4 linked regions of the Xenopus tropicalis genome follow. The protein of the gene in region 1 purifies or fractionates together with the protein of each later gene. This does not show direct contact. Links are inferred from orthologs where the notes say so. Each region holds a gene or a part of one and is shown in the gene's direction. Other genes may lie near its edges.

What was found. The genes of interacting proteins can lie anywhere in the genome.
Region 2: the proteins of prmt1 (region 1) and hnrnpu purify together in Homo sapiens (affinity purification with mass spectrometry; 4 studies listed by BioGRID and IntAct, with this or other methods). This does not show direct contact. The link is inferred for Xenopus tropicalis from reciprocal best matches to the Homo sapiens genes PRMT1 and HNRNPU.
Region 3: the proteins of prmt1 (region 1) and lsm14a purify together in Homo sapiens (affinity purification with mass spectrometry; 3 studies listed by BioGRID and IntAct, with this or other methods). This does not show direct contact. The link is inferred for Xenopus tropicalis from reciprocal best matches to the Homo sapiens genes PRMT1 and LSM14A.
Region 4: the proteins of prmt1 (region 1) and dhx9 purify together in Homo sapiens (affinity purification with mass spectrometry; 3 studies listed by BioGRID and IntAct, with this or other methods). This does not show direct contact. The link is inferred for Xenopus tropicalis from reciprocal best matches to the Homo sapiens genes PRMT1 and DHX9.

The regions. Positions count from the first base shown.
Region 1 is NC_030683.2:111,009,021-111,011,945, forward strand, and holds part of prmt1 (protein arginine N-methyltransferase 1), read left to right. Parts: intron 1-804; coding exon 805-906; intron 907-983; coding exon 984-1,139; intron 1,140-1,787; coding exon 1,788-1,851; intron 1,852-1,931; coding exon 1,932-2,074; intron 2,075-2,355; coding exon 2,356-2,443; intron 2,444-2,925. UniProt on the Homo sapiens protein: Arginine methyltransferase that methylates (mono and asymmetric dimethylation) the guanidino nitrogens of arginyl residues present in proteins such as ESR1, histone H2, H3 and H4, FMR1, ILF3, HNRNPA1, HNRNPD, NFATC2IP, SUPT5H, TAF15, EWS, HABP4, SERBP1, RBM15, FOXO1, CHTOP, MAP3K5/ASK1, MICU1 and NPRL2.
Region 2 is NC_030681.2:44,496,467-44,499,986, reverse strand, and holds part of hnrnpu (heterogeneous nuclear ribonucleoprotein U), read left to right. Parts: intron 1-55; coding exon 56-175; intron 176-266; coding exon 267-392; intron 393-1,397; coding exon 1,398-1,566; intron 1,567-1,763; coding exon 1,764-2,030; intron 2,031-2,521; coding exon 2,522-2,709; intron 2,710-2,853; coding exon 2,854-2,928; intron 2,929-3,272; coding exon 3,273-3,326; 3' UTR 3,327-3,520. UniProt on the Homo sapiens protein: DNA- and RNA-binding protein involved in several cellular processes such as nuclear chromatin organization, telomere-length regulation, transcription, mRNA alternative splicing and stability, Xist-mediated transcriptional silencing and mitotic cell progression.
Region 3 is NC_030680.2:67,701,838-67,705,357, reverse strand, and holds part of lsm14a (protein LSM14 homolog A), read left to right. Parts: intron 1-2,844; coding exon 2,845-3,008; intron 3,009-3,520. UniProt on the Homo sapiens protein: Essential for formation of P-bodies, cytoplasmic structures that provide storage sites for translationally inactive mRNAs and protect them from degradation. Acts as a repressor of mRNA translation. May play a role in mitotic spindle assembly.
Region 4 is NC_030680.2:100,161,193-100,164,712, reverse strand, and holds part of dhx9 (ATP-dependent RNA helicase A), read left to right. Parts: intron 1-664; coding exon 665-789; intron 790-1,486; coding exon 1,487-1,635; intron 1,636-2,743; exon of another isoform or gene 2,744-2,801; intron 2,802-3,520. UniProt on the Homo sapiens protein: Multifunctional ATP-dependent nucleic acid helicase that unwinds DNA and RNA in a 3' to 5' direction and that plays important roles in many processes, such as DNA replication, transcriptional activation, post-transcriptional RNA regulation, mRNA translation and RNA-mediated gene silencing.

The DNA.
Region 1 (2,925 bases):
GACCAGTTTACCTGACTGTTTTGGGAGTGTGGGAGGTAATGGAATAAAGGAAACCTGTGCAAGCATGGAGAAAACATAACCTCAAATTTTTCTTTTGTAAGAAGTTTGCAAACTTCAGTACCTGGATTTCTGCATTACTCACATTATCTGGTTTTCAGCTATATATAGTTATTGATAAGTCTAATTACAGCACCCAGTTACAGTATTTACTGTTTCAAAGTAAACATCTGGCCGCTATGGGTTACTCTACCTGTACATATGTTGTGCCATTTATGAAAAATGAGGCGTAACTTGCTTAAACTAAACATAAATTGTTTATATAGTCTTTGGTTGTGCCATGGCATCTCTATTGGATTGAGATTTGGGCTCTTTGCCATTCCAGAACACAAGTTTTCTTCTGTTGCAAATTCAAAGCATATGTGTGATAAATGCAGACATTCAGGTAATGGTTGGTAATTTACAGTTGCAGGAATACTTTCACTATAGTTTGCTGGCTCTTTAAGACTGTACAGAAGGAAGGAGTATTATAAAATGGCTTCTACTGTGACAGTAGCTGTCAGCATTTTGGCCCACAGCTGGGAAACATGGCATTCTAGAAGTTATTTTTACCATCTGCATTCTGTCTCTAGGTTGTAGAATTAATCTAATCATGAGTGATGTGAATGCAATATGAAATTGAAACATCACAAGGCAGTAATGTGGTTCTTCAGGCACCCATATTGCTTATGTTAGGTGTCTTGTTCCTTGGAGGTCTTGCCTGTATATGGGTGTCTAAGACTTATGCATGCATTTTCTTATTTGAAGGTTTCTTGTACTCAGCCTGAGAGCAGTGTGAAGCCAAATGCGGAGGACATGACATCAAAAGATTACTACTTTGACTCGTATGCTCACTTTGGCATCCATGAGGTAAGTTAACCCCTGCGTAGACTAATATTTTAAAGATAACTGTCCATGAGTTTTTCTGATCCATTTTCTTTCTGCAGGAGATGTTAAAAGATGAAGTTCGAACGCTGACATATCGTAACTCAATGTTTCACAACAGACATCTATTTAAAGATAAAGTAGTCTTGGATGTTGGGAGTGGCACGGGTATTCTCTGCATGTTTGCAGCAAAGGCTGGTGCCAAGAAAGTTATTGGGGTAAGATAAAAACCTCTACCCCATGGGGTTGCGATTTAGAAACGCTGAGTTTTTTTTTTAGGCATGTTCCCTGATGCATCCAGCTCTACTAGCTAGTAGGTGGTATAGAAGTTTGTCCTCTTACATTCCCCTGACTGGTGCTTGGTAGTGTGCACCATATATCTGAATATTTCTTATCATAGTCCCTTTCCTGCAGGTGCTGTGATGCAGTATTTTTAATATAGCGTATATTAGACACTGACACAAGAATTTAAACCCTTCTTTAAAACAGGACATTCTTTGCATGCATTAATAATTTTGCCATAGAAGTGTTTGCCCAGTGCTTTTACATTACACAGCCAATCCCCATTTTCCATTGAGGGGGCTGCCATTTATGCAGCAGTAGGAGTCAGTTGGCATTAGAAGCTATAACTGACAGGTTGAGAAGGGACAGTCAGGTTGGCAAAACACATTTAGGAACATCAAGTACTTAAAAATGATCAGCATTGCCTGTAACTTATGTACATTAATTGAGGAGTAATTTTGTCTGTATCCATTTAAGTTTAGGGGGGGAGGAATGTTGAGGCAGAGAGGGGGTAAGTGGGTTGGATACATACAATTGTATTTGTTTAAATCTTCTCAACTAACACTACATTCTTTTTCACTTAGATTGAGTGCTCAAGTATATCTGACTATGCCATAAAAATCGTGAAGGCAAATAAACTAGATCATGGTAGGTAACAACACGGTTGTCTTAAGTGCATTACTGTTTCCATCTAGACTGCATTCTAACCACTTATTATTCTCCTTTAGTGGTTACAATCATCAAAGGCAAAGTAGAAGAGGTGGAGCTCCCAGTAGAAAAAGTGGACATCATAATCAGTGAATGGATGGGATATTGTCTGTTCTATGAATCAATGCTGAACACTGTTATCTATGCACGGGATAAATGGCTGGTAAGTTCGCAAGAAGTGTCAAGAACGAGTATCTTGTATTTAAAAATGTAAACAGTTTGTTGGATTTGATTGTGCCAATGGTGCTAAGGCTCTCTGCATTGTTGTACCTAATACAACAATGCTAATGACATTACATCAGCTATTACTGGGTTTACACCAGTGATAGCTGGATGTAATGTAACCTTGTATATACACTTGCTAAGGAAATGTATACTTTAGTTGAAATGCCAGAAGTTTTTTTTTTAATGCCATGTGCTTCTATGTACTTGCATATCTTTCAGACTCCAGATGGGTTAATATTTCCAGATCGTGCTACACTGTATGTAACTGCTATTGAGGATAGACAATACAAAGACTACAAAATTCACTGTAAGTCTTATTTGCTGCTTTGGTGCCAGTTTTGAGTTAAAGCAAATCCATGCATGTGAAAGCCCAGTGGCATCTCTTCCTATATGTGTGTTTAATATACCAGATTTCAGTGTGACTGGTGTAAGTGCCGATGTGTTGCATGGTACAAATTTCCATCATTCCCAGCTATAATAAGTATTGGCACTGTTATGGAGATGAATGGAAATGCAGCTGGGCAGACTTAGATTATGTATTCCTTAAATATATAACTGCACTGGTCAAAGTTCTGCCTAACCACTTCATTTCTATGGTTAAAGCCCATTTTTATATTTAGACTTTTTTAGTCAGTTCAAAGTTAGTTCTTGCTATGCATTAATGTATGGCCTTCTACTGTGCCCCCAAAACTTTGTAACTTGTTTAAAACCAGTCCAGAACTGCTTTGAAAAGGGGTTTAACTGCCTCAACACAATTTGTCATGTACTTTGCTTCCACAGTAAAATTTT
Region 2 (3,520 bases), on another chromosome or scaffold:
GAATACAAATACATTTATTACATTCAGAGCAAATATGTTTTTTTTTTTTTTAAAGGTTATAATGATGATTGGCTTGCCAGGTGCTGGAAAAACAACATGGGTAACTAATCATACTGAACAAAACCCTGGCAAATACAACATACTTGGAACGAACACTATTATGGAAAAGATGACGGTAAGAATCCTAATATATAATTTTGGTATGTTAACCTTTTTTTTTTTTTTTTTTTCTTGACATTTTTACTTTAAAACCCTTTTCTTTGTAGGTTGGCTGCAAAAAGCAAATGTCTGACACTGGAAAGTTAAATGCTTTGCTGCAGAGGGCCCCACAGTGCCTAAGCAAATTTATTGAGATTGCTGCTCGCAAAAAAAGGCATTTTATCTTGGATCAGGTAAGTTTTTTTTTTATATATATATATATATATATATTATTTATATTGCCATTTTTATACAGGGCCTTAGAGAGACATACCTTGACCGGCAGTGTTTTCTGCTTTCAGGCAATTGTTAAACTTTGTTTAGAAACCTGCTGTCTTCTATATTTTGTTAAATAAAAAATATAATTAATTTTAGTCATGTATGCTTTTAAATATAAATAAATTGTATATTTACCGTTGGCTAGTAAAAATTTCAGAAAACTTACCATAGTCTATAGAAGTAAAATACAAGTTAACCTTTTCTCAGAAGAACCTCAGTAATTGAGGTTGGTAATTAGAAATGTTATTAACTAATGTAGCATATTGTAACAATTTAAAAAAAATCTGAAGTTTTTGCATAAGTAAAGGAATTATTCAAAAGGTGAAAAATGAAACTTTAAATTTTAGTATTAGAATGTCAAGTTATTTCTGATCTATTAGAAAACAGTGGGAGTGAAAATATTTTAAAGGCAAACAATTCTTTAAAGTGATCCATAATTTCACATGTTAATATGATAATTATTAATACAATAACAAACCTTGCTTTCAGCATACAGGGCTTTTTTTTTTTCAATAGAAATAAGTCCATTTTACCTCACTTTGTATAAAACTTATAACTGAAATATAAGCTATAGTAATTAAGACACCTTGAGCTTTCTAACCTTTAAATGCAGTATTTTAAGTACAGGTGTGGAATATATTGTACAAAATACTTAGCACCAGGGAGTCTTTATACAAAATGGAGCACCCTGCCATAAGGCTACTAAGGTGCCTTAATAGTTTTCTAATAATAACCAGAACAGCAAAATCTATTTGTAATCATACAAGGCCCCTCTGCCTTTCATCAGGTTTAAGCTGTAGTGTGTGTGTACATACACTATCAAACTGATTTGTTTCTTGTGTTGAGTGGTGCAAAGTGTTCCAGCTTTGCCTTCCTAAAGTTAACATTTTTTTGTTTGACATTTCTTTTCTCTTTTGCAGACAAATGTGTCAGTAGCTGCACAGAGAAGGAAAATGTGCTTGTTTGCTGGCTTCCAACGCAAAGCAGTTGTTGTTTGCCCAACAGACGAGTTATATAAAGAGAGAACACAGAAAAAATCTGAGGTGGAAGGCAAAGATCTTCCAGAACATGCAGTTCTCAAAATGAAAGGTAAGTAGATTTCCATGTTCTTGATCGCCATTGAGCCTCTTCGCAAGGCAGTTTTTCAGAGCTTATGGCTTCTATGCTATGATCTGACACAAACTTGTTATTGGTCTCTAATTTCTACTTTACTTTGTAACAACCATTCTGATATGGTGCTAATATGATGGCCCCTGATAGAGCACATTTTTTTTTTTCCCTCTCAGGTAACTTTACTCTTCCAGAAGCAAGTGAGTGCTTTGATGAAATCAGTTATGTGGAGTTGCAAAAGGAAGATGCTGATAAACTTATTGAGCAGTATAAGGAGGAGAGTAAGACGTCCCTTCCACCAGAGAAAAAACAAAACATTGGAGCAAAGAAACCAAACAAGAACAAAAATACCAAAGGCAGAGGTGGTATGTCTCACGGTCATGGACACAGAGGCCGGGGAGGTGGAGGATACAATATGCGTGGAGGAAATTTCAGGGGTGGAGGTATGTTTGCACCATGTAGTTGTACAGAATATTGTATACATTTAGTAAAGAGGGCTGAGGCAAACATATCAAAGATGACTTAGTTTCAGAATTTGTTCATTGACCTTTGTCAAAACCACCTTAAATATTTAGGCAGGGGTTCAGTGAAGCTGTGACCACAACAAGAGGTCCTCTTGAGAGAGAGATGCCCTCCCCTTTAAGCAACAGGGATTGTTTGTCCATATACTGCAATATACATCCAGCTGGCCAACTATGTCGGTCATCCATGGTCTGGGCAGTCCTACACTTGCTTTTATCTGATTCATTAAAACACCCAAATGGTTGCCCTTTTATTGGCTCATTGGGATCACCTGACTGTAGCTGGAAAGGGTGGGGGTTACAACATGACGCTTACCACTGCTTCTGTGCAAACTAACAAAAAAGGGAAAAGTTGTGCTCACCGCTAAATTTTAAACCATTAGGCATAAATTTAATAACTAACTATCTTGTAGCTCCAGGAAACCGTGGAGGATACAACCGAAGAGGAAATATGCCCCAGCGTGGTGGTGGAGGCGGTGGTGCCGTTGGGTATCCATACCCCCGTGCACCAGTCTATCCTAACAGAGGTGGCTATGGTAACCGTGGAAACTTCAACCGTGGCGGGGGCGGTGGAATGCCCAGCCGTGGCAACTACAACCAGGTAAAACTTTATATTAAGTTTTAATTGTCCCCTCCCATCTTTCTTTGTGCCATGTTTTAGGAAACAAGGGGGGAATTTGGTTGCTAAATATCTTAATTGAGAAACTCTGCATTGCAGTTTATTGACCTAGAATTTTCTCTGCAGAACTTCAGAGGAAGGGGAAATAATCGTGGCTTCAAAAATCAGTCTCAGGGTTACAACCAGTGGCAGCAGCAGGGTGTAAGTATCTCTCACTGAAATTGCTTAATGACTTGCAAACTTTTTTTCCCTTTTTGCACCCTATATTTTTTTTTAATTTTTTTTTATTTCACTGAGCTACTCTAACACACAGACATTTGCCTCCAGCTTTGGCCATATTCCTATAAAATCTTTTGCCGTAAGTTACATAGGATCAATTTTATTACTACTTGAACTTCTTGGAATTAAGTCTGGATTGGGCTCCTAGGTTAAAGTAGTGGGATGAAACTTAATCAAATGTTACACATGACCTAAGCAGTTCTTGTTGGCAAATAAGCTTAAAAGCTTGTTAACATGTTAATATTTACCCCTTTTTCTAATTGCAGCAATACTGGGGTCAAAAGCCATGGAGCCAGCAGTACCACCAAGGATATTATTGAATACCCAAATAAAAATGAACTGATACATATTTCTCTTCAAAACCTTCACAAGAAGTCGACTGTTTTTCTTTAGGCTAACTTTTAAACAAAAAACAAACATTCCACAAGAGGAAGTGCCTGCGGGTTCTTTATTACTTTTGTTTGGGTTATTCCCATTTATTTTGTTTAGTTGCTTTCTGGGTTGAATTTTTTTT
Region 3 (3,520 bases), on another chromosome or scaffold:
CTTAACCCATGCACAAGGGGATCTGGTCACTACAGATTGTCTCATGGTTCAGACTTTAGTTACTTCTGCTCTATTTGTTCAGTGAGATTGATAGATCCTAATTTTATTGGTATTTATTTTGGTTTTTGAAACTTAGCACAAGGCGCTGCACTTCCCACCCTAGGCTTGTACTCGAATCAATAAATGTTTCCAGTTTTCTTAGGTAAAATTAGGTACCTTGGCTTATATTCGGAACGGCATATAATCGAGTATATACGGTACATGACCCTGCAACCTGCACCCGGCCTGAAACTGCTTCTGGGAGCAGGCAAAAGTTTAAAATTCTTCAAGCGAAGGGGCAAATTCTTGGCTTGTGTTTATCCACAAGCTGAGAATTTGCTCCGTGTGGCATTAGCCTATAGGCATTTCAGCAACCTGTAATTGCCTCCCATCCACCTAAATAGAAAAATATAGGTAATACAGGTCTGTATGCTTTTTAGCATACATATATATATTGAGAAAGGTCCCGATGGGGACCGAAATGTAACATTGGCTGTTCATGCGTTTTTAATACACAATTGACTGTTTTTGGAATATAACTCGGTGTTGCTGGTCTTTTTTGGATATTTTAAATCATTTACCTTGCACCCGAGCTAAGAGCTGAAGCAGAATGCCACCCTGGGTTTGATATATATATATATATATATATTATATAAATAACACACAGTACTATGAACACGCTGATCCTTCCAGTTGCTGCAAAGTTATCTTATTCAGATTAGAAGGGTGTTTCATCTTGACATGTGCAAAAGCTGTTTTTTTTTTTTTTATAGTTAGTGTAAAAGTCTCTTACCGTATATACTCAAGTATAAGCCGAGTTTTTCAGCACCAAAAATGTGCTAAAAAAGTCGACCTCGGCTTATACTCGAGTAATATAGATTTGAAGATGGCAATCCCTGCACACGCACGTATAACAAGTCCCACTGCCTGCATTGTATTGTGTTATTTGCGTGCGTGTGTACGCACATTCGCGCTCGCCGGCTTCATGCACTGGAAGGACATTATGGGAGTGTACACAGCGTGGGTTACCCCTTCTCCTCGCAGCTATAGGTAAGAAATATATAAATCCTAACTGGGCTAAATATGGTTTCCTCCTCTCCCCTTCAAAGCCACCGGCCTATGCTGGACGGCCTCTCAGTATACAGATGAACCAGGGGGCTTGTGGGCTTTATAGGTGGCTACAGAGGATCGGGTGGAACCCGAGCAATACAAAAATTGGTGCAATGACCATTATAATTCCCAGCATTTTGCAAGCTGTGCCCTCTAAGCCATGTAATGGTCTCAGGAGTCAGAACCGCAGTGAAGGTGTCTCAGTATACAGATGAGCCAGGGGGCCTGAAGGACAAGGAGTAAGTTAACTGTTGTAGCTATGTTATGAGAACAGAGGCCAATATTTTCTAGCACATAATGCTGCCACTCAGTGTATATATGATATTTACCAAAACTTGCCAGTTGCTTGGATTTCCATCTTATCATTACTATCATTACTTAGTATGGCAGCTTCCTTAGCCTTCCCAAACTTGCCTGACAGTAAAAAAAAAAAAAAAAAAACAACTTAGCAGTAGCGGCTGCATTTCCCCTAGGCTTATACTAGAGTCGATAAGTTTTTCCAGTTTTCTTAGGTAAAATTAGGTACCTCGGCTTATATTCGGATCGGCTTATACTCGAGTATATACGGTACTCAAGTTGTACAGGTATGGGACCTGTTTTCCAGAATGCTTGGGACCTGAGGTCTTCTGGATAAGGAATCTTTACGTAATTTGGATCTCTATACTTTGTATATTAAATTATTTAAGCATAATTAAACCCAATACAATTGTTTTGCCTCCAATAAGAATTAATTATAATTAAGAAATAGTTCCAAATCCTTTTCTATCATGTTAGTTGAATAAAATAAACTTTATACATTATTTTTTTTCCCCTTCAGTCCTGGAATTTACAATCACAGCCAGCAGGCTGGCGCCATTTTAAGGCAAAGCTTTGTGTCACCCCAAAATCTCTACATTTGCCATCTAGGTGATATCGAGGAAGGGCTGAATGGAAAGTTAAAGCAATAGTAATTAAAAATCTGAGCTGTCAATCATATATTGCCTGGGGCAGGCAATATATGATTGACAGGTCAGACTTTTAAATACATTTATAACCGGTATGGGTGATTTAATTAAAAAAAGAACTTTGGTTGCATGTTTAATTTTTAAAGGACTTTTATTATGTAGCTTTTTTTATGTGTGGGTGACAGGTCCCCTTTTAATAAGACATAATAAACTTGTTTCACATAGCACCAACCATTCAAGTTTTTGCTGCGCTACTACCATTAATACGGGTATGGTCTTAAAAGCTCTTGTGACTACATGGGTGTAGTTTGAAGTGGGTGGTCAAAACTGGCTTCCATTCTGAGCCCTCGGTACCACAGAAGTTGTACAACACTGGAGAAGAGCCTTTGTCTCTTTCTGCTCTGCTGGTTGTCTAGGGGCTGGAGGTGCCATAGATTGTAAACCTGCCACACATCATAAACTTTACCCTCTGTGGAAGTTAAGAGGGAAAGCCATTTTTCATTAGATCATTAAACTATCCATGGCTACTGTAGACCCATAAATAAATACAGATATGGAATGCCTTCCACATTCATCTTCTACAAAAGTTCAACAAAACTTCAACACATATCCATAGCTACTTCTGCAAGTTTTGTAGAAGATGAATGTTAATTCTTATAAAACAAGATATGGTTTTCGGTAGTACTGCATTGTACTTGTACTTTTAACAACTCAAAGACGATTCCTGTTTTTTTTTTATTTTTTGTTCTAGTTCGATCATTTGGGACAGAGGACCGGCCAACTGACCGACCTATACCTCCCCGGGATGAAGTATTTGAATATATTATTTTCAGAGGAAGTGATATTAAAGACCTTACAGTCTGTGAGCCACCCAAACCTCAGTGTTCCTTGCCTCAGGATCCTGCTATTGTCCAGGTATCTGGTTAACCCCAATGTTAAAAGATGGAGAACTATAAGAGTGTATTTTATTATATCTCAATTTTATTATTGTTAAGCCTTCTAATAATTTGTTTTAAAGTAGATACTTGAAGTATTGAACATTTTATGTATATGAGCCCTCTGGTGTTATAAAAGTATACCTGTGACTTATAAAGATATTTTAAAAATGCCTTCTACTACAAATGTGAAAAGGTACAAAATTGGCTCAGTATGTAATTTTTTTGTTTTCTAGAGGAATAAGTGGCTTGAATTCTGCTTTTTAACTTCTGTTGTTTTTTCCTCTCTTAAAGGAGAATGCAAGTCAAAATTTAAAAAGCATACTGCCCAATAGTCCTCCTATTTAGTAAAAACGCCACACTTTTGGCTCACCTAATGAAATATTTACTCAGTCACACTTACTTCACATTTTCTAGAACAGGCAGCCATCTCTAAAAAGGTATTCTCCCTTCCTTTCCCTCCTTGCTTCATACTGCACATGTGTTTCATTC
Region 4 (3,520 bases), on another chromosome or scaffold:
GACAGCACTACTCATTAATTTGCTTAAGCAATTAAAGCTGTTTTTCATAATTCACCAGTCATACCAAGTAAGAAATTGATTAAGGGCTACACAGATCTTACAAGCCCCAGGATGAAAAAGCGGACTCGCTCTCCCAAATTTTTGCTGTATTTTAATGCTAGTCAAATAGTGTGTGCCTGATAGTGGTTAAACCTAGACCCAAACAACAGTCTACAGTTCTGGAGGCCTTGGCCAACCAATTGCAGCAATTGGCCAACCAATTGCAGCAACACTGTCTCATTTTTTAGGTTCCTTACGGATGCTGGGTCATAAACAAAACCAGTGATGTGGAGAACTAAAACAATTTGCAATCTGATCAATGACAAGGTTGCCCAACTATGTCTGGGTCACATTGGGAGAGTTTGCTGGCTGACACACAAGCTGGAGACCCATACTTCTAAAATTTAAGAAAGGACTGCTGATATTATAATGATTTTTAAACTGTAGGAACCTAAAGAGATTGCCAATCTCACTTCTCTACTTTTCTCACTCCTACCTCTATAATTTCCTTTGTCTCTTTTTTTTTTCTTTTTTTCCCAACTAGTCCAAAAATCCAAATGTGTTCTTGTCAGAATTGCCTCTTATCCTTTTTCTTTTTCATCCATGCATTCTTGTTTTTCTTTAGATGCTGCACCTATGAGGGCCAATACAGGCTGTAACCCTCCTGCTTATGGTGGAGGTGCCCAATGGGAACGTGGAGCTAATCTGAAAGATTATTATGCTAAGAGGGATGAACAGGAGGCTCAGGCTGTAAGATTTTATTATACTATATAAGAAGTTTAGAAATTTCAGGTCTTGTTTATGAAATGCATTTTTGCAATTAAGCATCTATCTTAGTAATTCAGGCCCATTGTGTCCAAATATGTCACATTTACTGTAGATTTAATAGAACTGGATTTTCAGCTAAACGCAGCCTGCTCTTGAGGATGGCTTCTACAATGTTTTGTGTAACTGTGTGGGGCATGCCATGTAGGCTGTATGGCTTTTAATTTTTTGAAAGGCTGCAATACAATACATACCAAACTCCTTCAGCAGACCTGCTGTGAATTTCTATTTCTATTACAGCAGTGGTTTTTAGAACTTAAATTGGTCCAAGATCAACCTGAGGTCCTATATTTCAGAAGGGGCCCCCGTAAATCACAAAAGGGTTACATATATATGGACACATTGTGGTAATAGCCGTTTTAGCAGTAGCTCCAAAGATAATTAGAACTTAATAGAATAAATATTGTTTTCTAAGGACCCTCAAGTTAAGCTTTCAGAAATATTTAGAAGAGCCAAAATAAATATAAAAAAGGTAATATAAATAGCCATCCCCTCCATATCTCAACATAAATGGCATGCCCAATGCTCATTCCTAAAAATTTGAGGTTTCTTTCCATTAACCTGTCTTGAAGTTATTTAGAAAATAAGCCGTAATAAAATCTCCCACACCTTTTTTGTGTAGACTCTAGAATCTGAAGAAGTTGATTTGAATGCTGGCTTGCATGGAAACTGGACCCTTGAAAATGCAAAGGCACGTCTCAATCAATTCTTCCAGAAAGAGAAGACACAAGGGGAATACAAGTATTCACAAGTGGGGCCTGATCACAACAGGTTGGTGTGCATGGCTTGGCTCATTTTGGTAGTTTCTTGTGTAGTTGGAAGCATAGAAGGGTAACAAGAAGAGCATTAAATATTTTTCAATGTTTCTCCTACATTCTAAAGTAGTTTTAAATTATACCATTCCTAATAGTAGGTTAGACTTTATTTATACAGTCAGAAGCAAATTACGAGTGAAAGCTGCAGATCGGGTATTATCTTTTCTTAAGCTAGCATTATTTATACAGTTACATTTTTGTGTGTGTAGAAAAGGGACTAAATGTTTTAATTCACAAATATCTAGTAAGAGATAAAGGGGAAATATATCCCTAATTTTATTCAGTTGGGCTTATGTATTTGATTGACTTCAATCGCCTACCTTTTACCCCGGGCTGGTGCCCCTGTTAGGAGAGAACCGCACCAGCCCGGGGTAGCTGCCAGCACTTCCTCGTTCCTGTCTTGCCGCGCGAGCATGCGCAGTAGAGTGAAAAGCCGAGCTTTAACAGAGAAGTCGACTTTTCACTCTACTGCGCATGCGATTGTCCGGGACATTTGGCAGCAGCGCAAGTTGGAAGGAGGAAGCGTTCTTTTCTCCTAACAGGGGCACCAGCCCGGGGTACAAGGTAGGCGATTTAAGGTACAGTGACTTTGCCTTTCCTTCTCCTTTAATACTGTTTTGCCTTTGACCTTTACCTAATCATTACATAACAAGAGGGAAAAGTAAGACCAAAGCCAATATGTGCTAAATTTTGACTGCAGTAGTCCTTACGTATTTGCTGTGTGTTTTTGAAAATTGGAAATTGACTAGCTGTTATACAGTTATTTGTGTTTCTCAGCCAGCTGTTAAAGAACAGAGCATTACAGAGAGTATTAAACTTACTCCCAGTAAAGCTCGTATATGAAAAAATTCTTGTGGAATGGGTTTATTCAAATGCTTATGTTACAGTGTGTTACTAATTTGTGTCTTTGGAAATTGTTACAATTTGCTGAAATTAGAATTAAAGAGTAGAGGCTGTGACACCAGGAATCTCTTCTTAACACATGGGGTGGAGTTTAGGCTGTACTAAGCTATCCCATGTGAAGTCTGTTACTGACTACTGAATCCTGGTGTCACTCTCTCCAGGTGACCAAAAAGGCCGGCTGAGAAACACATTCACAGGCTGCTAGGGCGTGTTCTGCAGGTCAGTGTCTTCTGAGCTTATTCTAGTTTTATAAAGTAATGCAATCTTGAATAACATGATGCTAAGATCTTATCTTTTGGAGGGCTGGAATTAAGGGAGAAGGGATTTTTGTTGTAGCGGAAATATTGTGCCTCAACTTGAGAGGAATAATTTACAGTTCCAACCTGTCACCATTTTGCTGTTTTTGAGCAAACCCCAGCACTCCTGATAATCTTTGAAAATCAATAGGATGTTTTGAAGTACTGTAACGACAGCATACTGGTTTACCCCCTTTATATACTACCAGTTTAATACACAATTTGGTCAGTGGTCTCTTCAAAAATTAGGGGTCCGGGTCCTCATTATTCTATCCTAAAACCAGCCCTTAAACTATCATAACCTGACATATTTGCCTTTACTGGGTAATATATGAATTTAATAAACCATTCCTCCAGCTTTAATATTTGGACCTTGTACTCTGGATTACAATAAGATAACTATCTAGAACAGGATTGTCACAGTTGGAAATCTTTGTTTGGACATGCTGACAAATGTAATTTACCATCTGTAAACATAATTCAGTATCATGCATGTTCACCGCCAGCAGTGGAAACACAGATAGAGGCCAGAAGCAACCAGTTCTTTTGTGTGCAGTATATGAATGGCATCAGCCTGTCATTGTGTACATGAACATTTTCTGCAAAAATCAGCTCCCATTTGCACAGTGACAGGCTGATGCT